Canis lupus familiaris: one gene and its partners. The protein of the gene in region 2 interacts with the protein of the main gene of each other region in a pairwise test. Links are inferred from orthologs where the notes say so. Each region holds a gene or a part of one and is shown on either strand. Other genes may lie near its edges.

What was found.
Region 1: the proteins of NAB2 (region 2) and RFC5 interact in binary tests that used the Homo sapiens proteins (3 or more experiments, as listed by UniProt). The link is inferred for Canis lupus familiaris from reciprocal best matches to the Homo sapiens genes NAB2 and RFC5.
Region 3: the proteins of NAB2 (region 2) and PHF1 interact in binary tests that used the Homo sapiens proteins (3 or more experiments, as listed by UniProt). The two-hybrid records come from large-scale screens. The link is inferred for Canis lupus familiaris from reciprocal best matches to the Homo sapiens genes NAB2 and PHF1.
Region 4: the proteins of NAB2 (region 2) and TCEANC interact in binary tests that used the Homo sapiens proteins (3 or more experiments, as listed by UniProt). The two-hybrid records come from large-scale screens. The link is inferred for Canis lupus familiaris from reciprocal best matches to the Homo sapiens genes NAB2 and TCEANC.
Region 5: the proteins of NAB2 (region 2) and PHOSPHO2 interact in binary tests that used the Homo sapiens proteins (3 or more experiments, as listed by UniProt). The two-hybrid records come from large-scale screens. The link is inferred for Canis lupus familiaris from reciprocal best matches to the Homo sapiens genes NAB2 and PHOSPHO2.

What each region holds. Positions count from the first base shown.
Region 1 is NC_049247.1:14,761,030-14,765,263, reverse strand, and holds the start of RFC5 (replication factor C subunit 5), read right to left. Parts: upstream 2,803-4,234; 5' UTR 2,682-2,802; coding exon 2,620-2,681; exon of another isoform or gene 2,267-2,619; intron 2,165-2,266; exon of another isoform or gene 1,981-2,164; intron 1,081-1,980; exon of another isoform or gene 933-1,080; coding exon 868-932; exon of another isoform or gene 605-867; coding exon 468-604; exon of another isoform or gene 1-467. UniProt on the Homo sapiens protein: Subunit of the replication factor C (RFC) complex which acts during elongation of primed DNA templates by DNA polymerases delta and epsilon, and is necessary for ATP-dependent loading of proliferating cell nuclear antigen (PCNA) onto primed DNA.
Region 2 is NC_049231.1:1,579,461-1,583,563, reverse strand, and holds the start of NAB2 (NGFI-A-binding protein 2), read right to left. Parts: upstream 2,803-4,103; 5' UTR 2,736-2,802; coding exon 2,653-2,735; intron 1,253-2,652; coding exon 379-1,252; intron 1-378. UniProt on the Homo sapiens protein: Acts as a transcriptional repressor for zinc finger transcription factors EGR1 and EGR2. Isoform 2 lacks repression ability.
Region 3 is NC_049233.1:2,998,946-3,003,153, reverse strand, and holds the start of PHF1 (PHD finger protein 1), read right to left. Parts: upstream 2,803-4,208; 5' UTR 2,674-2,802; intron 1,956-2,673; 5' UTR 1,937-1,955; coding exon 1,778-1,936; intron 1,686-1,777; coding exon 1,604-1,685; intron 1,496-1,603; coding exon 1,400-1,495; intron 970-1,399; coding exon 869-969; intron 776-868; coding exon 627-775; intron 427-626; coding exon 331-426; intron 154-330; coding exon 85-153; intron 1-84. Other genes in the region: kinesin-like protein KIFC1, read right to left, coding at 4,067-4,111. UniProt on the Homo sapiens protein: Polycomb group (PcG) that specifically binds histone H3 trimethylated at 'Lys-36' (H3K36me3) and recruits the PRC2 complex. Involved in DNA damage response and is recruited at double-strand breaks (DSBs).
Region 4 is NC_049260.1:10,113,173-10,117,140, reverse strand, and holds the start of TCEANC (transcription elongation factor A N-terminal and central domain-containing protein), read right to left. Parts: upstream 2,803-3,968; 5' UTR 2,700-2,802; intron 371-2,699; exon of another isoform or gene 370-370; 5' UTR 243-369; intron 1-242.
Region 5 is NC_049257.1:14,699,340-14,703,310, reverse strand, and holds the start of PHOSPHO2 (pyridoxal phosphate phosphatase PHOSPHO2), read right to left. Parts: upstream 2,803-3,971; 5' UTR 2,555-2,802; intron 2,005-2,554; 5' UTR 1,971-2,004; intron 63-1,970; 5' UTR 1-62. Other genes in the region: CCDC173 (coiled-coil domain-containing protein 173), read left to right, coding at 2,978-3,035. UniProt on the Homo sapiens protein: Phosphatase that has high activity toward pyridoxal 5'-phosphate (PLP).

The DNA of each region.
Region 1 (4,234 bases), on a different chromosome or scaffold from region 2:
CAGCCGGTGGTGACCCCCAAGACAGGACGAGGCATCCTTCCTCTTCCCCTGACTCCAGTCAGGGCCACTATTGGCCAAACCTAACCAGGAGCCAAAGAACAAGGCAGCCTGCAGTCAATACAGCACAGCCTTCCAGCGCAAGAACAGGGTGGAGCCACGTGGAGGAGAAATCTGGACAGGCACATGGGAGACAGCAAGCTACTTAGCAACCACTCACTGAGTGACCACTGAGTGCTTGAGTATGAGTTGGCAAAGGCAAAGAAAAATACCTAGCCCTACAACTGCCCTCTAGCTGATGCCAACCAAGACCAAAATGTCTATTCTAGATAAAAAGTGACTGGAAATATTCTAGGTCTGTTCCTTTCCCCCACCTCCAGTACAGCAACTTAACTTGTGAAGTAAATCAAAGAATACTAAAAGTAAGAGACTCGAGTTCTTTGCTGAGTAAGAATAATCTTCCTGTTTACCTCCAAGACCATGGAGCCAAATTCCTTATCTTTGTATAGCTGTTTTGCACAGGCCAGGATGGTGGAAGTCTTTCCTGTCCCTGGAGGACCATAGAGGAGCAGGTGGGGCAAACGGTCTTCACTGATAAATTTTTGAACTGAGGAAGAATGAGAGAGCCCATCAGTTTCAAGAGTTACCTGATTTACCTTGGGCCCTTGGGGTTGGCCTGAATGCACTTCAATCCCATGTTCAAATCAGAGACAGATGCAGGAAAGAAAAATCCGAAGGACCTAGCTCACAGAGCAACATTCCATACAGCTCAGTCAGATACTTCGAGGTTATTACTCAGCAGAGACATAACCAAGAAATTTATACAAGTCTTCCAACTAGAATGACAGCAACTGACACATGGATGCTTACTGGTACTCAAAATGTCCTGATGAGAAATCAGATCATTCAGCGTCTGTGGCCGGTATTTTTCAACCCTGAAAGACAATTTAGCAGGGATTACAATATATACCAATGCAAGAACACACTGTTATGTGCAAAAGAATCCTTTCCTACCCTAATGAAAAGAGGAAGAGAAACAAAATCCTCTAAGTTTGAATACAGACCACTGGTTCTCAACCAGAGGTAATTCTGTCCTCCAGGAAACACTCAGTGATATCTGGAGACATTTTCAGCTGTCACAATTGGGTGGAGGTGCTACAGGCCTCCAGTGGATAGGCACCAGGGATGTCACTAAACCCTACAATGCACAGGACAGTCACCATGCCCGCCTCCACCAAGCGTCTAGCCCAAAATGCCAATAGTGCTGCTCTAATTTCACTTTCCCAGCTGTCTGCCTATAAATAATCTCAACCTGGATGGGCACCTATTATTTCAAAATAAATTAAAAACTGAACTCATTGGGGCTCCTGGGTGTCTCAGTCGGTTAACCATCTGCCTTCAGCTCAGGTCCTGATCTCAGGGTCCTAGGATCCCACTCTGCATCAGGCTCCTTGCTCAGCAGGGAGTCTGCTTTTCACTCGCCCTCTGCTCCTCCCCCACACTCACGTTCTCAAGTAAATAAAATCTTTGTTAAAAAAAATTGAACTCATACCCAACTATACATCAAAAGATGAATGGATAAATAAATGGTGGTCTATCCATACAATGGAATATTATTCACCCATAAAAAGCAATGAAGCCATGACACCTGCAACAGTACAGGTGGACCCAGAAAACATGATGCTGTGAAAGCAGCCCAGTCACAAAAGGCCACATACTGATTCTATCCATGTAAATATCCACGGTAGTCACTCCAGAGGCAGAAAGCAGATTAACGGTTTCAGCAAGTGGAGTCTGGGGGTGAGGGGGGAGATGGCGAATAACTGCCAATAGGTGTGAAGTTTCCATTGGGGTAAAATGAAAAATTTTGGAACTAGACAGTGACCTGGTAGCACAACATTCTCAATGTACTTAAAGTCATTGAATTACACACTTTACAATGTTTACAACTGTAAATTGGATGTTATGTGTTCTTTCCATGAGAAAAGCAAACTGAACTCAAGAGACAAGACCGACCAACTTGGAGCTTTCAGAAGAACTCAAGCTGAATCCCATCAGTTTCTAAAACACCATCCAGATGCAGCCGTGGAAGTAGGATGCTCAAGAGGGCAAGCTCTGATTTCACCTGGATGCAAATCCCAACCTATTTTCCTGCTCTGGACCTCAGGTAAGTCATTTAACCTTTTTGTTTTCCAACGGGAATAACGACCTACCTCCTAGGGTGTTTGTAAAGATCAAGCATCTAACAGGGTCCCCGCTAATCTAACAGGAAGCCATTTAAATACAACTCGACTGGGGAGCATTATTAGGACCGTTGTCCTTTCCGTTGAGAATTTGAGCAACATTGCCTGAGGATTCCGGCAAGGGTGGAGAGACTACTTTGGCCCGAGGCCGATGCAAAGTCAGAAGAGGAGGGACTGAAACCTCTACGCTGTCACCCAGTGAATACCAGGAATGGGGGCGGTGGGGGTGGGGCAGCGGGAAGACCTGGAAAAGGCCTAAAAGAACGGAGGGCGCTGGGGGTGTCAAGGCGAAATTCTGGGGCTCCGGCCGGCCGCAGGTCGGGGGCGGTCGGGCGAGGTCACCGGTCCCCTTTCCCGCGGCTGCCGGGCCTCCTCCTACCAGGGCAGGTTTCTGATCTTGGCCGCCGCGGGCTGCTGCTCCTGCTGCGCTGAGGTCTCCATGGCGCGGTGAGAGAGGCGTCCGGGCCCGCCCGCGTCGTCGCGGCCCCCGCGGTCCCGCACAGCTACCCGCCGCGAGCCGACCCCGGCCGGGACCCTGGCTCTCAGAGTTCGCGCGCAAAAGCAACTCTCGCGAGATGTAGCCTCCTGCTTCCGACTTCCTCCCTGGGTCCCGCCCCCTCTCTGTTGCCAAGGGGTCGGTTACCAGGTTACCGGGAGGCGCCGGCCGCACGCCTCCCTCGGAGTCCGCCCTTCCAGCCCCCGCTGCCCTCCCGCGCGCGCGACGGAGCTTCCCGGGCCCCGGGAACCCGGGAAGCTAGAGAGGCGAGGCCATCCCCTGCAGCCGCCAGTCGTCTTTACAAACTAAGTGTCACGGCCAGAGCCAATTCCAGCTACCAGCAAAGTTCAAACCCTCACCGTTCAGAGGAACAGAGAGCGTCCAGCCCTAAAAAACAAGACAAACAAACCCGAGGATAAAACAACCGCGATTCCCTAGGAAAAAAGACTCCAAAAAACCTTTTGGCCCCAAAGCTGGGAGGTGAGTACTTCGAATTGATGAACAACTCCAAACACACACAACTCCAATTTACCTCCCAAATCCATGCCCCTCGCCCAACAAAATCTAGAGAACCAAGTTCCGGAAGCAACCCCAGTGAAAAACAAAAAATAAACTTCCAGTTAGGTTAATGTGTGTGACTGGAAAGCGCTAGTTACCAAACATGGAGGACAGGGACCCTGTGATCTGAAGATAGGAGAACCAGTATTGAAATTTTTTCTGCAATGAGGTGATTATGGAGCACTTTTATTTTCTTCTATTTTGCTGATCTGTATTTCCCAGCAATATGTATTACATATTACAGATCACATGCTTTATCCATAATAAAGTTGTTTGTTGTTATTTTTTTAACATGTTGAGAAGGACATGAGGAAGAGAAGGGAGAAGACATGAGGCTGGCCTGAGTCAGGAGTGTACAGATGCCAGAAGTAGCTACTCCTAGGCCACCTGGGTGGCTCAGCCAGTTAAGCACCATCTGCTTTCACCTCAGGTCCTGATAATTGAGCCCTGCGTCATTTACCTGCTCATCAGGGAGTCTGCTTTTCCTTCTCCCTTAAATTAAAAAAAAAATTTTTTTTAAGTAGCCGCTCCTTGCATCTTATTACATCACTGGCACCTGCCCCAGGAACAGAGTAGAGGGACAGTTGGGCAAATACATGATGGTGACTATGCTTCACACTAGCCCCTGCCTATAGACTCAGAAGAAGGTGGGGAGGGCGGTCAGATGTGGTTTGTAGTATGACTGTGGCTAACTCTAACTCTGGTTGTTGAGGCCCTTAGTGTGCCACTTTGCTGCTTAGCTTTGGGCAGCTTGCCTCTCTTCTAGTCTAATAACCTCTACTCCAAAGGTGTCTCGAGAATCAAGTAACACATGTGTGGCATCTGGTACATGGCCACTTTACTCTCTTCTTCCCTTCTAGCACTTTCCACCCACCCTATTTGTGTTTCAAATGTTTCCTCTCAAGCAAAAGCCTACTCAAGAATTGGCTGGTGTGACGAT
Region 2 (4,103 bases):
CCCCACTGCCTCGCCCAGACCCTTCACCCTTCACCATCGGACATCGAAGCCCACCCCTCAGGTGTTGCTGAAGATGATAGTACGTGGCTTCCCAAAGGACCAAGACGGAGGCCAGCACCCACAGCTTCCTAGGAACGCCGGGAGCCCCCTCCACCTGTGGGGTCCTGAGGGGCACAGAGCAGGACACCCGGGCTCTCGCCTGCACCTCCCCCTTAGTTGAGGAGGGCAGCACTGCAGTGGCTGGGGTTGGGCCGTTGGGGTGGGGGGCGTGGGGTCCTGGTCAAGGGGCAGTGAAACAAACCTGGGGAGCGGAAAGATTCTCTAAGGCGAATAGGCTGAGACCTGGGAGCCGAGCACAATACTGCGTGGGGTCCTCACCTCATGCAGGCTGAGCTGCTTGCCCTCCCTCCGCTTGGAGTCAAAGCGGCCGTAAATGATGCTGTATTTGCGGATCTCCTCCTCCTTCTGACTGTCGTTATCGTCCATCTCAAAGATGTGTCCTACGCTCCGAGCCAGCTTCTTGTTCAGCTTCAGCAGGGACGTTACCTCCCCTGCGTCCCCCCTGGGGAAGCTCCGGAAGATCCTCTCCACACTCTCCACCACCATGCGCACCATCTCCGGTTCCAGTCGATCTGGGCCACCCCCAGCCCCGGCTGCTGCCAGCCCCCCAGCCCCAGTCCCCTCGGGGACTCCTCCCCCTGCAGGTGGGGAGAAGGGGGGTGAGCCTGCCTCCTCTTCTCCTCCCGCCCCAACGTCGGACTCTGGAGTGCTCCGTCCTGGCCAGATCCGGGGGTCTCCTGCCCCAGGTCCCCCAGGCAGCGGTGACAGCTTCTCTCCAAGTTCAAGGGGGCTCTTGGGGCTGAAACTGCGGGCACTGCCTGCCTTTTCCCCTGGGCTGCTGTGCCCGTTGCTCATGCTCCCTTTCCGGGTGCCTGCAGTCTCGGAGATCTTGAAAAGTGGAATACTGGAAACAGGCACAGCAGGCACAGGCTGGCTGAAGAGCCCTGGGTTGGTGGCCCATTCTCTCAGGGCCTTCTGCAGGCGTCGGACATGGAGGGGCTTGGTGGCCATGCCCACAAGGGCCATGATCTCCAGGAACTCCTCCTCACCAGCCTCACACAGTTGCTGCACATCGTCCCCTCCCTGCTGGATGAAGGTCTCATAGTAGGAAAGCAGATTGGCGCGCTGCAGGACCCGGTACAGCTGCAGCTCCCCCAGTGTCCGAGGCAGTGCCATGGCTCGGGCACTGGGCCTGGAAAGGAGGAGCGCGGTAGAGAGGGAGGCAGTCAGTACAGGTCCCCCTGCTGGGTACCCACCCAACACTCATCCTGCATCCTCTTCCCTGCCTGCTTCTCATCCCCCTCCTCTGAAGGCTCGCTCTGCTGGATACCCAAGCTTGAACACAGACTATGAGAACTGGGCATTACCCAGAGGCAGAAACACCCCAGTGCCACACCAGACTAGCCACAAGTCAGCCCAGTCTAGGCTGAAACCAAAGACTCTTCGCTACCATTCTCAGTTTTTACTTTTCTGCCTTGGGGCAAGGAGACCAGGAGCACTGAGGCCAGCCACGGCCCCCGGGATGGCTGGGCCTCCTCCTCCCCTCAGCACGGGTCTTCACCCTCCGCCCTAAACGCCCGGCAGTTCCAGCATTACTCAAGGTGACTTTCCAAACTGAAGTGCACGTAGGACCCCGTGGCCTCCCCACAGTGGGCTCCTGGGACCACTGCCGGCCAGTTTCACTGCCTGGTGGCATCCTACCCAGGTGGCTGCGAGGGAGGGGTGTGGCCCTTTCCCACTCGGCGAGCTCGGCTGCGCTCCCCTGAGCTGCTCCCCTGACTGCTCGGGCCCTCCCCTGTCCGGGCTGCCCAGGGCCCCTCCGAGGGCCCCTCTCTGGGCAGTGACCCTCTCCACCTGCTGGGTAGGTAGGCCGGTCCGGTCCCTTCGGCTCAGGCACGGCAGGGAGGAGTGCCTCAATTGTTCTGCTCTGGGGCCGTTCCGCCCACGCACACTCCTACAGTGGCAGCGTCCGTGGGCGAAAACCGCCTGGGGGCTCCCACCTCTCTCCTCTCCCTCATTTTCCACCCACACCTCCAAGCGGAGCGGGGGAGACGCTCGAGGCCCCCGAGGGAGGGGCTGCACACCGAAACTCCCCTCCGCGGGCCGTAAATAAAGCTAGAGAGGAGAAGGGGCGCCTACGGCCAGCCCCGCGTCTCCACGGCCCTGCGGATGCTCCGGGGCTCGGGCTCGGCGGCGCCGCTCCTCCCGGACCCTGGGGCCCGCGCACTCCGTACCGACGGAGAGCGGGGCGCTCGGCGGCCCTCCCCGGCCCCGTGACCGGCCAGAGCTCCAGGACTTCCCCTGGCGCTCGGGGGCCCCCACATTGCTCGCAAGGGGTTCACGCGCCAGACCGCGGCGGCGGAGTAAACGGGGGATGGAGGATTAGGTCTCACTGTTTCACATCCAGCTTCACCCGCTCCCTCCCTGCTCCCCGGGCCCCCTAATTCGAAGACGCACCCCCTTTTCAAGCAGTCTCCACCCCCCACCCCCGTCCCGCTTCCCCTCCCGTCTCCCCGACCTCCGCCCTCCGGACCCCTTCCCGAGCCCGGCTCCACCCATCTCCACTCCCGCCGCTCTCCTCTGCCCACTAACTTGGGTCTGGGCTGCGCGGTCCGGCGGGCGCTGTCCCCTCCGCCCGGCGGCTGCTCGGCTGTGGGGGAGGGCGCCCTGCGCATGGACGGCCGGCGGCCGCAGGCTGCCCCTCTCGGTGCCCCGCGCTCGGCGCCTGGCGCGCGCTGCCGCGGCCGCGGTCCGGGCTCCGTCCCTCCCTCCACGTCTCCTCTCGGCGAGCCTCCGCGCCTCTGTGCCTCGGCCCCCCCCTCCCCGGCTGCGCCTGCCGCCTCTCCGCGCCGCCGCCCCCGCAGGACGCACGGGGAGCGAGGCCCGGCGCTGCGCTGGCTGCCGGGCGGGCGGAGGGCGTGGGCAGCGCCGGGGGCGGGCGCCGGGGGCGGGGGGCGGGCGCCCGGGCCTCCGGGCCGCGGTGCAGGCGCCGCGGCGGAGCGACGGCGGGAGGCGGGGCCGGGGGGAGGGGGCGTGGAGCGGGGGGCGGGGGCGGGGCCGCGGGGCGCGGGGGGCCGGGGGGGCCGAGGCCGGGCCGCGGGGGGCGGGGCGAGGTCGCGCGGTGCCGCCCCCGCCGGATGCGCAGCAGGCCCTCTCCGCGCCCACGGACCCACGTGAGCGCCCAGCCGGCGACATTCCTACCCCCCGCCGCCCGCTCCTACCCCGGGGCGGGGAGCGGACTTTCACCGCCACGCGCGGGCACACGGAACACGGAGAAGCGCACACGCGTGCACACGCGCCGCGGGAAGTCCGCGGCCCGCCGGCCGGGAGCCGGGGAGAGTTGGCGGGCTCGGGGTGCGCCCGTCGGCTGCCCGCGTGCGCGCGGGGCTCGGCAGGAATCCCCTGGCGGGCCCGGCGCTCCCCCGCTGCGACGGGCGGCCTCGCGAGGGCGGTCCTCGGGGGCCCGGGCCTCCACCCTGCTCGCCTCCCGGTCGGAGCTCGGGGCGCAGGAGCGGGCGGGCCGTGCTCGCGGCTACCGCGCCGGGTGGCCGGGTGGCCGGGGGTCAGGCGGGGGGAGGGCTTCCCCTCCTGCCTCAGCGCGTCGCATCTCTTTTGCTCCGCGGAATTCTGTGGCAAGGCCGGGACCGGGAGGATGGCCCTTCCGCGGATGTTTTTAGGGGACCAACTGCACTCCAGAGAGTCTAACGGAAGACGGGCTGGAGGCCGGGGAGTCCGACGTGGCTCCCGGCGGTGGAGTTGCAGGGAGGAGCTCTCTGCGGGAGCCGGCCCCCCGCAGCCCCCCCGCAGGCCCCCTCCCGTGTGTCTCTCCTAGCCCCATCTGGTTCCCATTACGCTCCCGCCCACGGCCCGGAGGTCGGGGAGGGGGAGGGGGCGGGGGCGGGGGCCGGCGGGGGCTCCCAGGGCCCGGTCCAGCCGCTCCAGGCCGGGCTGGGGCGCGAGCGGCCTGGCTGCGGGAGCCCCCCCCCCCCCCGTCCGAAGCCGCAGCCCCGCCCCGCCATTCCGCACTTGTGAGTGGCCCGGGG
Region 3 (4,208 bases), on a different chromosome or scaffold from region 2:
TTGTCAATACAAAAGCCTGGAGAGCCCAAGGTGGGAGGCTGGGGGTGCTGAGAGAGGAGCCATGTGGAGGTGGTGCCCACTCACCAGCGAAGCTGTAGCCTCCTGACCTTCTCAGGGCCACCCCGACACACACAGCATTCGAACTCGTAGAACCTGGAAGTGGGCGAGGGGGAGAGAGCGTGGAGGACTTATGAATAAGGATGGGGTGCGTAGGGGAGGTGAGCTTCAGAGGCTGGGGAGACATGGAGCTGAAGCAGCATGGGGGCCTGAGAGGGTAGAGCAGGGCAAGAGTATTCTCCCTTGGCTCCCAGAGAGCCAGCCCCATCTCACCTGTCCCCGTAGAGGAGCGGCTTGCTCAGACACTGGGTGCAGGCCTCATGGAACCACTGCAGGCAGCTCTGGCACTGCAACATTTTCAGGTTCCACCTGAGAGGGAACACAGGACTGGTGACCTCCAGACACTGCCCCGACCTGAATGGCCCCAAACCCTACTCACCACCTACTTCTGCTTTCTTCAGCACTCCCTTCATCCTATTTTTTCTCCTTCATTCCCCAGGATCCCCCCACCCACTCCATCATTCATTCCCTCCCCACCACTCCTCCACCCCTGTCCCTCATTTACTCACTCCCCAGGGCCACCACAGTAACAGTAGCTCTGCTGTCGGTTGCTCAGATGTCCAGCGTCCCAGTCTAGCCCCTTTAGTCCATATGGCAGTGACAGCTTCATGCCCAGCATGGCCCGGGCATAGGGGCCCTTCTTCAGTGCACCCCCCCTCTGCAGGGAGGAAACAGGCCACCTCAGACGGGTAGGGAACAGGAAGGCTTGGGAGAGGTGGTGGGGGAGGCTCCCACAGAATGGTGACCTTACCTTGGTGGCAATGGCAAAGACACACTGGCGACAGACCCAGGATGTGCCCTCTCCCTCTCCAGGGGCTGGGGCTCTTGGAACGTGGCAGTCCTGGTGATAAGCTGAATAATGATAATATTGATGGTAGACCATTTATTGCACAATATACCTGTGTGTGCTAGTGACTGGGATAGGAGGAGTCTGGGCCACCTCATTTCATCTTTGACTGTGATCTGGCTGCAGTAGATAAGTTACCCTTATTTTACAGGTGAGGAGACAGGCTCCTAGGGGCTTGGGAATTTGCCCAAGGTTTTATGGTTAGTAAAGGTGTATTTGAACCATCCTCTGTCTACAAAGCCCACACCTCCTGATTCCATGGCTATTTCTCCCTGTGCTGGAAGAGAGGTTACAGAGTTGAGCAGACTGGCCAGAGCAGTGGCTTGGGGACTCAGCCAGGACAGGTGGCCTAAGGATCAGTGGTGGAGGGAAGACTTAGAGGCAGCCTGGAAGGTTCAGGGCAAGCTAGACCATTTAGGTATCCTGCCCTCTCACCGTGGCGACACTTCTCACAGCTGACCAGCCGGTTTCCAGGGACCACAGTCTCAGAGCGACAGACACAGCAGAGGAGTTCCTCCCCGGGGAGGGCAGCTGTGAGGGAACAGTGTTGTGGGGCCTGTCCTTAAGCCCCCTTTACATCCCCCAAGCCAGGTTTCTGCTTTCCACAGCATGCATATATTTGGGCCTCTAAGGTCTCACCAGGGCTAATGTCTTTCCATAGAACCAGAAACTGGGAATCGTCCTCAAACTGGACCAGACACACCTCCCGGGAACTGTCCACCTGGAATGGATGAGCACAGGAGATGAAACAGGAATCGGAACTACATAAGGAGAATGGGGGGAAGGTAATAAGTCAGAAGTCAAAGGTCTTACTTTCTTGATGGTCCCCAAGTATAGCAGTCCATCCGTCCACCTGGCCAGCACATCTTGACCCTCCCAAAGTCGAGGCCTGGGGCCTGAGGTGGGAGCAGGGGAGGCTGGGTCCCAAAGTGGGGGGGCACCAGAGCGGCTCAGCCGGGGGGGCTGTGCCATTGCATCCTGGGGGGGGGGGCTATCCAGAAGTGGGATGGGAGAAGGTTATGAATGTTGAGAAACTGTCCCCATTTTTCTATGCCTCAAGGACTCAAGCAGCTGTGCTACCAGTCTCCAAATATGAAATACCTGGATAGGAAATCACACAGCACCCCTCCCAAGCTTCATGACTCCAGCTTTTCCAACTCTGGTGACTGGCTCTCCTCTCCCTAACACCCCCCACCCCCCAACCTAGTTCTCTAGTTTCCCAGCTTCCAGAGCTCCCCTGGGATACTGTATCCTGGCCTTGAGATTTTAGGAGGAATGATGGTTGCAGAAGCAAAGGTTACCATTCAGTTTCTACTGTCACCTTCTGTTTAGAGATACTGTAATTGGGGTGTTCTGCTACCCAGAGAATGTGTTTTGGGAGCTTTTCTGGAAATGTTTTCCAAATTAGAAACGGCTGCCTCCCCGGGCCCCTGTGTCTCCAGAACAATAATCCCGATGCCAGGTTATGGCAGGTCACCCTCAAATACGGGGCTCCCTGTCCCCCGGGTTAGATAACTTCCTTGAGTGCCCTGGGAGGGGGGCGTGTCCCAGTCCCGGTCTCTACTCCCCAGGACAGCGAGTCCGAGAGGGGACTTGAGTCAGCCCAGCGCGAGCTGATGCCTGGGCGGCGAGGCTCTCCCGCCCGCGCCCTGCGCGCCGACCCCCGGCTCCCTGCCCCCCCCCACGGGCGCCTCCCGCCGCCTCCTTACCAGTGACAGCTGGGGCCGCCGGGAGCCGGGCAGAGGCAGACGTGGGAGACCGAGGCGAACCCCCCGCGCGGGGAGGGCACGTCTGGGCGTCGGAGGGCGGGCAGGCAAGGGCCGGGGGGTCCCCAGGCCCAGCCCCTCCGTCCCGGCAGCTCTGGGGCGTATGACGCAGCAGCCAAAGCAGCGGCAGCGGCAGGAGGAGGCGGCGGGGGGAAGGAGGGGAGGGGAGGGGAGGGACAAACCGGCTCGGGGGGAGGGTAGTGGGAGGGGAGGACTGAGGGGAAGGAGGAGCCGGGGGGGGGGCGGGCACCACCTCACCCCACCTCCCTCACCTCCAACGGGCCTGGAGGGCGCCGAACGGGTGGCGGCCTCCCCACGGCTGGGGCGGGTGGAAAGTCAAGACCCAGTGCGAGAGGGAATCCCTGCAGCCCCTTCCTCGGAGGGAGATCCGCCCTCGGGGCAGCAGGGAATCCCCCCCTTCCCCGCAGCTGGTCTCCAGCCTGGCCCCCGCCCCATGCCACATCCGTTAACTGCCCCCCCAACCTCCATGGTCACTCCAAGTCCCGCCCCTCGGCCCCAGTTCACGACCCCGCCCCCCATTCACCCGTCCCGTCGCCCCCGCCACGCCCTCCTCCCTCGAGTGCCCCGCCTTCCTCCCGCCTTTGCCCCGGCCCCGCCCTCCCCGTGGTAAGTCTCCCCCCGCCACACCGCCGCCGCGCTTCTGCGCATGCGTGACCCCTCCCGCGCGCGGCACCTGGGTGGACCGAGCCCCTCCTTTGCCGGGCGGTGGCCGTTGGCGGTTGGCGCGAGCGAGTCAGCGGGCGTGCAGCCCACCCAGCGCCTGTAGGGCGGGTACACGGACCGGGAGAGCTAGTAGCGAGGCGGTAACGCCGCCGAGAGCCAGCCAATGGGCAGCGGGCGGGCCGGCCCCAGTTCTTCGAATGGGACGGCAAGGAAAGAGCGGGAGGGAGAGCCCGCAGTTTGCAGGAGGGCTCGCTGGCCCGGCCTCTGGACTCGGGCTTCCACTTTCCCGCACCCACCAGACGAGCTCTCCGCGTGGAGCTGGGTGGCCTGCGGCAAACCAGTGACGGCGGTCGGCCAGTGGGCACATCTCCTAGAGGCGGACAACCAGGGTAACCATCTAGTCTCCAGGAGATAGCCAGGTAGAGAAAAGCTGAAACCCTTGCTCTGCAAAACACAAATACTCGGCAGAGTAGACGATCCACAGTTCCCATTTTTACAGATACGGGCCATTGTTAACAAAACCTTTATTTAAAGAAAAAAAACTTGTTCTTTATTTGATAGACCCAGGTCACAGAGCGCCCCTCCCCCCAACAAAGCATCCTTCAGCGCCACCCCCACCCCCCCTTCCCAAACAGAGGATCTGGATCTGTCTTCATTTCCTGTTAGCCTGGGCCGTACCAATAACACACTGGTTCACCTGCGGGCAGAGGTTTTAGAATAAAAATATTTTGTGAGTAACCAAAATAACAGTTTTCTCCAAGATCACCCCCCACCCCCAATATTGGGGCTGCCCT
Region 4 (3,968 bases), on a different chromosome or scaffold from region 2:
CTGCTACAGGACCGACTCAGTTACACTGCCATCAGCCCAAAGACAGCTCCTGACCTGCTCCTCCAGTGAATGTATAGAACTTCCCTGCTTTTGGATTTTGCTGACTGAGCCCCATTAGGAAATATTAAAAACACCTCCTGTGCACAGCTCACCTGAGACTCTTCTCTACAATTATAACTGGTGGTTGCAATGTCTTAAGCGTCACGATGCACCCAGTTCCCCGGACTTATTCCCTCCCTTACCTCTTAACAGCAGAAGGCAATGTACATTTATTGAACTGTACGTGCCACACACATTTATGTCATCTCCATCCTTGCGATGACCCCAAGTCAGGTATGTGGCTTATCTCCATCTTCCAGATGAGGAAGCCTGTTAAAAAAAAAAATCATAAAAATTTTTTTAAATTTAAAAACGTCTTTAAAAAAATCAAATATTTGTGATGGCTTTTCACTGTGCAGACTACATTAAAATTATTTTTTTAAAGATTCTCCTTAATCACAAGAGACACACAGAGAGCGACCCAGAGACACAGGCAGAGGGAGAAGCAGGCTCCCTGCGTGGAGACCGATGCAGGACTCGATCCCAGGACCCCAGGATCATGCCCTGAGCCGAAGGCAGACACTCAACCACTGAGCCACCCAGGCGTCCCTAAAATGTTTTTTATTGTCTGCTTTCCCCACAAGACCATAAGAGAATGATGTCTGTTTCATTCACGGAGACACGCCCAGCAGACACCTGGCCAGTTCTTACTATTACTCAACAAATTCTTATTAAATGAGAAAAGAGGATCCAGAATGCTTCCTCTCCTCTCTGCTTGTACGCCCCATTCTTTTTTTTTTTTCAAGATTTTTTATTTATTTGGGGTGGAGCACAACCAGAGGGGAGGGGCAGAGGCAGAGGGAGAAGCAGACACACCCCTGAGCAGGGAGCCTGACGCGTGGCTGGATCCCAGGACCTCAAGAGCATGACCTGAGCCAAAGGCAGATGCCTAACTGACTGAGCCACCCAGGCGCCCCTGTACACTTCATTCTTTCCACTACAGACCAGCTTGCTCGTACCCACTGCACCTAAGCTCACTGCCCCTCAGCTTCTTCCACATGAGCCAACCTCATCTCAATTCTAGTTCGAAAAGTTATGTAAAAGACAAAACAAAAAGGAGTAGCAGCAGTAGCAGCAGCAGCACCATGGTGCCCACTGTGGGTTGAGTGGACTGCAGAGATCAAGCTTGTGGGGATAAGAAGGGTCAAGAAGCTAGAGTTCACAGAAGCCGAGGGGCGTTGAGCATGTTCCGTAAGTTTCTTGATGATTCTGTGCCTCAGTTTCTTCATCTACAAAACTGGGGAAATTCCGCATCTTAGGCTTAATATGGGAAATAAATGAGATAGTCCTTATAAAGTCCTTAGAGCCATGCCTGTCACACAGTAAGCCTACATGACAATTACACAGGACTATAATTAAAAGATTCACGTGACATGGATCTCCATGGCAGGCACTGTTGTACAGAACTTTGTTGTTTGTTGGCGAACTTCTTCTGGAAAAGGCCAGATAGTAAATACTGTAAGCTGTGCAGGCCATCCAGTCTCTGTATGGACTACTCAAGTCTGCTGCTCTGGTAGCAGGAACAGCAGCCATAGACGACACATAAAAGAATGAGTATGGCTTTGCTCCAATGTTTTTCAAAGACAGGTAGGCTGGATTTGGCTGTAGGCCACAGTTTGCTGAGCCCTTTTAAAGCAGTGCTATCCAACAGAAATACAATGCAAGCCACAGATAAAATTTAAAATTTTCTAGTACCCACGTTAAAAAAATAAACAAGTGAAGGTTACAGCATGTTACCTAACCAGTGTATCCAAAATACTGCCACTTCAACATGTAATTAATAAAAACAAATTGTTGATATTTTACATTCTCTTTTTCATACTTATTTCCCCCAAATTCGCTGTTTGACACTCTGACGCATCTCAATTAGGACCAGGAACATTTCAAGTGCTCCATGTAGCTCGTGGTTACCTATGGGACAACACAGTTCTAGAGCATATGCTAATACAGATAACGCTTACGTGCACACCTATTGCCCCAGCTTCTGAATATACATGAAAATGAGTCTATGCCGGGCGGGCAGGTGCAGGCCCTACATATCTGTGGACTGAATGCATAGAAAAGCTTGTTAATATTAACTAATATGGGCACGCTGCACACATCTGCACACATCTGGCTTAATCCCCGGGGGACACGAGCGATCAAAGAGAAATTTTGTTTCTAGTCATAACCCACGCACAGCTCTGCAGCTACACAGGGGAGCCCCTTCCCCCAGGGAGAGAACCGATGCCAAACGCTGGGTCGGGGCGCCGCGGTTTCCGAACAGCCACGCAACACTGCGCTAGTGTCCCTTCGTGTTAGGACGCCCCCCGGCACAGGTGCAGAGGGCGGAAGGGAGCAGCGCAAGGGCCCGCGGGGGCTCGGGTTCGGGAGAGGGGCGCGGGCCGCCAGCTCGGAGGCGGCGGCGGCCCCCGGGGATCCGCCCACCCCAGCGACGTCAGCCCGAGAAGAGGCGCGAGGGCGCTACAGGGCCCGCCCGCCCCGGGACGCACCGCGGCCCCCCGCGCCCTCCCGGAGCAGCGGTGAGCGTCCCCGAACAGGGGTGCGCGTCCCCGAGCGCCGCCGGGCACACACACGCGACAACCTAGAGCGTCGCTCACCGAGAAGCGCACACGCCCGGGAATCTCCGGAGACGTCGGCGCCGGGACAGAGCTTCCGGCACGCGGGGCGGGGCCACCGAGGCTCCACCAATCCGAGGCCGGCGGCTGGAGACCGCAGGCCGGGCGCATGCGTGCTGGGTACGTGGCGTCTGCGCAGAGGGACCGGCGGCCGTCAAGCCCGCGCCGCCGCTCGCTGTGGGGCGGCCCCGGGCGTGGCGGGCGACGTGGCCCCGGGGCCTCCTGAGTTGAAGGCAGCTGCCCCCAGGAGCGTTTTTCAGCTGCGAAGTGTGTTGAACTAACTCCACGGCGTACGCTTTGTGCTTTCAGTCAAGGCAGTGCTCAGCTGAAAGGTTGACAAAACGGTGGCCGGATGCGATTGATTTCATGCAGTAATTAATTAACAAGTATGTATTGCAGCCCTAGCCCGCGTCCCTTGGTAAGGAAGTACTGAACATTCACCAGGTGGCCGTGGCACCGCTCATCCGGACACATCCTCTCCCTGCAACGGTCCGATAAAATCAAAGCGACGGTAAAACTCGGGGCTTTAGTTTCAAACGGCTATTACTGCCGCACGATGGTTTCTATCACAACTAAGTGAGACACCAATGAATCTAATTGGTCGAGCAGGGACGCTCCATAGGGTATAACAAGAAACTCATTTTTTCTCACCGCTGCTCTGTTGGCTCTCCTGCCCCTTGGCTGCTCCAGGGCTGGAGCTTGAGCAAACCGCGCAGCTTTCCCGGTCACTTTCAGGTTCAATGAAACAATTTGATGAGTGTTGTGGGTTGAATGGTGCCCCGGCCCCCAAGATAGATACAGCCACTTCCTAAATCTGCCTCCCCCAAACCTATCCAGACAACTTTACTTGGGAAAAAATGGGGGGGGGGGGGCTTTGTAAATATAATTAAGGATCTGAAGATGAGACCATCCTGGATCACTGGGTTGGGCCCCAAATCCAACGAGAGACAATCCTTGTAAGAGAAGACAAGACACTGGAGTTGAGTGAAGGTCATGTGAAGACAAAGGTGGACATTTGACTCTAAACAGACCTGTATTACCATCCCTTCCTCCTGCTGCCCTTACCCTGGAGAAACCAGAAAATAGTGCAGAAAGTGTGCAATAGGAGAGTGAAGAACTTAATCCACATAACGTTCCCTTTGCTCTTCCACAGAGTTACAGGTCACACCTGAACTGAGAGGGAGCCAGAGCTTTGAATTGGATGACTGATTGAAGTTTCCATATTAGATTAGGCTGGCTTTTTTAACCATC
Region 5 (3,971 bases), on a different chromosome or scaffold from region 2:
ACTCTATATGCAGGAAACAAAGTCTTCCGGTTTGGAGCAAAGAAACGGAGACTTCTTAACTCCTAAAATTAAAAGTATTTAAGATATTTTTAAATTTATGTTTTCTAATTACGCTGTTTTCTCTTACATTAGAAAGGCACTTATTGGCAATGGGAGAAACAAAATCTTGATTAAACAAAGATTACAATGAATATATATTTTAATCCAGTGGATAAAGTCACAAGTGTTAGGCTGATTATGTTAAGATTTCCAGGTTCCATTTTTCCTTTTTACTTGTTAAATAATAGATAAGTACTACATTCTATTGTCAACAAACTTTTAAAGATTAGTGCTATACTTTATTTTTTTTTATTTTTTATTTATGATAGTCACACAGAGAGAGAGAGAGAGAGAGAAAGAGGCAGAGACACAGGCAGAAGGAGAAGCAGGCTCCATGCACCGGGAGCCCGATGTGGGATTCGATCCCGGGTCTCCAGGATCGCGCCCTGGGCCAAAGGCAAGCGCCAAACCGCTGCGCCACCCAGGGATCCTCCCTAGTGCTATACTTTAATAAAAATGTCTCCAAAACTTAAGGATGTGCACAAAAGTTTAAAGAATGTGAATCTAAAAAAAAAAAAGTGAATCTATTTTGAATCCAGTTTAAAATTCCAAAAGCAGTTATTAATTATTCTCTCCAAAAGCATGAGCAGTATATATTTGCCATCTCTGCAATGTTTTTATATATCTATAAACGTAACATTTATATATATAAACATAACCTGTGTTTTTTACAATAAGGAAAACTGGAAACTGCACAGACATCCAAGAACTGGGGACTGGTTAAATAAGATATGTGATAGCCGGGTAATGGAATATTTATTTAGACAATAAAAGCTAAGATCTTTAGTACAACTTATACAAGTAAATCACTAAACAGTGTGTACAGTATAATCCCATTTTTGTTTTAAAAAATGTCTGTGTACGGTGGTAGGACCATGGGTGCTTCAACTGCCGTGCATTCTTTTTCTACACTGATTTTGTAATAATTTTTTCCAAAGAATAATTTAAACTCTTGTTTCAGATCAAAATGCAAATGCTACCTTAACTTCACAACAAAATAAAACAAAGGAGTGGAGTCAGAGAGAGAAGTAACTAGCTCTAGCTAGACTTAGCTGTAAGCATCCATGGGTTAGTTGAACTGGGTGTTGGAAGTCGAATGATATCAGACAAATTGGCAAATTACTGAGACTGAATTTTATATGATTCAATACTTTCTGTAACCTAGTTAGTTAAAATTCCAGTGAATTTTTGTTGGGAGGTAATTCTCCATGGTCTCTATTGGTTCTTCATGCTTTACAGGCAAGCCATTCACTGCTCTATGCTCTGGGCTATTGTCTCAACCTACGTGTAGTGAAAAACCCCGAAAGGCATGCTTATTGTCTAGTAGAATAGATTAAGGTTCCCTAAGCTCAAGGTTCCTGTGCAGTATTGCAACACACTCGCGTGCAGGTGACTTCTGATCGTTTCATCACCAGGTGGCAAGCGGGGTAAAACTGCTGAGATTTTGTCCAGTGTCATGGCTCTATGTCATTTATTTCTGCATCTTCCACAAAACTGTGGCAAGCTAAATTGTTAGTGTGCAAATAGTATAAAATCTCTCTGGCCCTTCCCGAGCTCTTGACACTTTTAAAACTATGCTTCTGGGCAGCCCCAGTGGCTCAACGGTTTAGCGCCTGCCTTCAGCCCAGGGCGCGAGCCTGGAGACCCGGAATCGAGTCCCACGTCGGGCTCACAGCGTGGAGCCTGCTTCTCCCTCTGCGTGTGTCTCTGCCTCTCTCTCTCAGGAATAAATAAATAAAAATCTTTAAAAAAATAATTTCTAAGAATAAAATAAAAATAAAACTATGCTTCAAAAAAAAAAAAAAAAACCTCACCAATGTGCATAAGCTAACTTACGTCAACAAATATTTTGTTAGTCCTTTCATACTTACCAGCATTATTACGGTGGAACATCAGATAGAAAACCTGAAGAAAAATAGCACAACTATGTGTTAGAACTTTAGTGATTAAAAATCGTTACCTCCTTTCATTTGAGCGACTCTACTCTAGTTTGGTGCCTAATGTGTAGGTGCCCTAGCCAACTAACTGATAAAAAAAAAAAAAAAAATTGTACTTCGATGTGTCAGAAAGGGGGGGGGTCTTTTGAAACCAAGACTGCATCCACTTTTAACAGATTTTTGTGTTCTCAGTGGTCTGACTTGTCCCACAAATACCTTCATTTTACTATACTGCATTTACAAAGCAATTTAAAACGTCTTAAGGGTCCTAACATGAATGTTCTGGGACAATATCCAAGTTTTTTTTTTTGTTTTTTTGTTTGTTTGTTTATTTTCTTTTTTAATATAAGCTTCATCTAGCCTGGATCATGGTTTCGAAACCAAAGTATTTAAAAACCGATTTCTCTGTCCATTAACCTCGGCGTTTCCACGGAAGGGGGGCCTCTGCCCTCCAGCTCCCCCCCGCGAGCAGGTCCGTGGGCCGCACACACCGAGTCAGGCCTCGCTCTCCCACACACCTGCAGGGTCCGCCCCGGACGTAGACGCAGGCACCTCGCTGGGGGTCATCCCCCGTGAGGAGCCCGGTGGACGAGGACCGGAGCGCCGGGCCGGGCCCCCAGGGCTCCTCACGGACCCGGACCACGCGTCGGCAGCCGTCCTGGCCCCGGGGCCGCTCCCGCAGGCTCTGCCCTCCGACCTCGTTCCGGAGCCTGCCCCTGAGGGGCACCCGACACGCGCGCCGGCGCACGACTTCCCGCGCAGGCGCAGTCCCGCTTTCCCAGCCCGACGGCCCCGCTGCGGCGCGTTCGCCGTTCCTCGGCGGCGGCTGCCGTCACTTCCGGCGGCGTTGCTAAGCGACTGCGCGCTTCGGCAAACATTCCTGCTCGCCCGGCGTCGGCGTCGCCTTGCCGAGTCTCAGAGTGCCCGACGCCTCGTCAGAGATGCTGGCGCGGGTTGGAAGGCGCTGTGGAGGTGTAGGGAGGGCGAGGGAAAACACAGGTGAGCTGACCTGGCCGATCCAGGCCCGGGGCGGGGGGGTGGGTAAGAGGCAGGGGGGCCGAATGGGAGTTCTGGTTACTCTCTGAGAAGGGCTCCACCAACTCGAAAGCAGCCCCATGGGCATCGTTGGGCTCTGAGTAAATGCACAGGTTTGGCTTCAGATGAATGGGCAGGTGGGAAACGTTCACACAAATAGGAGGGGAGAAAAGATGAGTCAGAGACTCCTAGGTGACCAGCCTCGAGGTGTGCAGTGGCAGCTCCAAGAGTGTTGTGTTCACTGAATTCCCTTAAGCTTTTGTTATTCGTGAGTGACTTGGAATATCTTTTGGAAATATCAATGACTTCACTAGAGTCTTGTCTGTGCTGAGAACCTACTGTGCCCTTAGGAACGTCTCTAATGGAAATTTATCTCTTTTCTTTTCTTTTCTTTCTTTCTTTCTTTCTTTCTTTCTTTCTTTCTTTCTTTCTTTCTTCTTCTTTTTTATAATAAATTTATTTTTTATTGGTGTTCACTTTGCCAACATACAGCATAACACCCAGTGCTCATCCCCTCAAGTGTCCCCCTCAGTGCCCGTCACCCATTCACCCCCACCCCCCGCCCTCCTTCCCTTCCACCACCCCTAGTTCGTTTCCCAGAGTTAGGAGTCTCTATGTTCTGTCTCCCTTTTTGATATTTCCCACACATTTCTTCTCCCTTCCCTTATATTCCCTTTCACTATTATTAATATTCCCCAAATGAATGAGAACATATAATGTTTGTCCTTCTCCTATTGACTGACTTCACTGAGCATAATACCCTCCAGTTCCATCCACGTTGAAGCAAATGGTGGATATTTGTTGTTTCTAATGGCTGAGGAATATTCCATTGTATACATAAACCACATCTTTATCCGTTCATCTTTCGATGGACACCGAGGCTCCTTCCAGTTTGGCTAT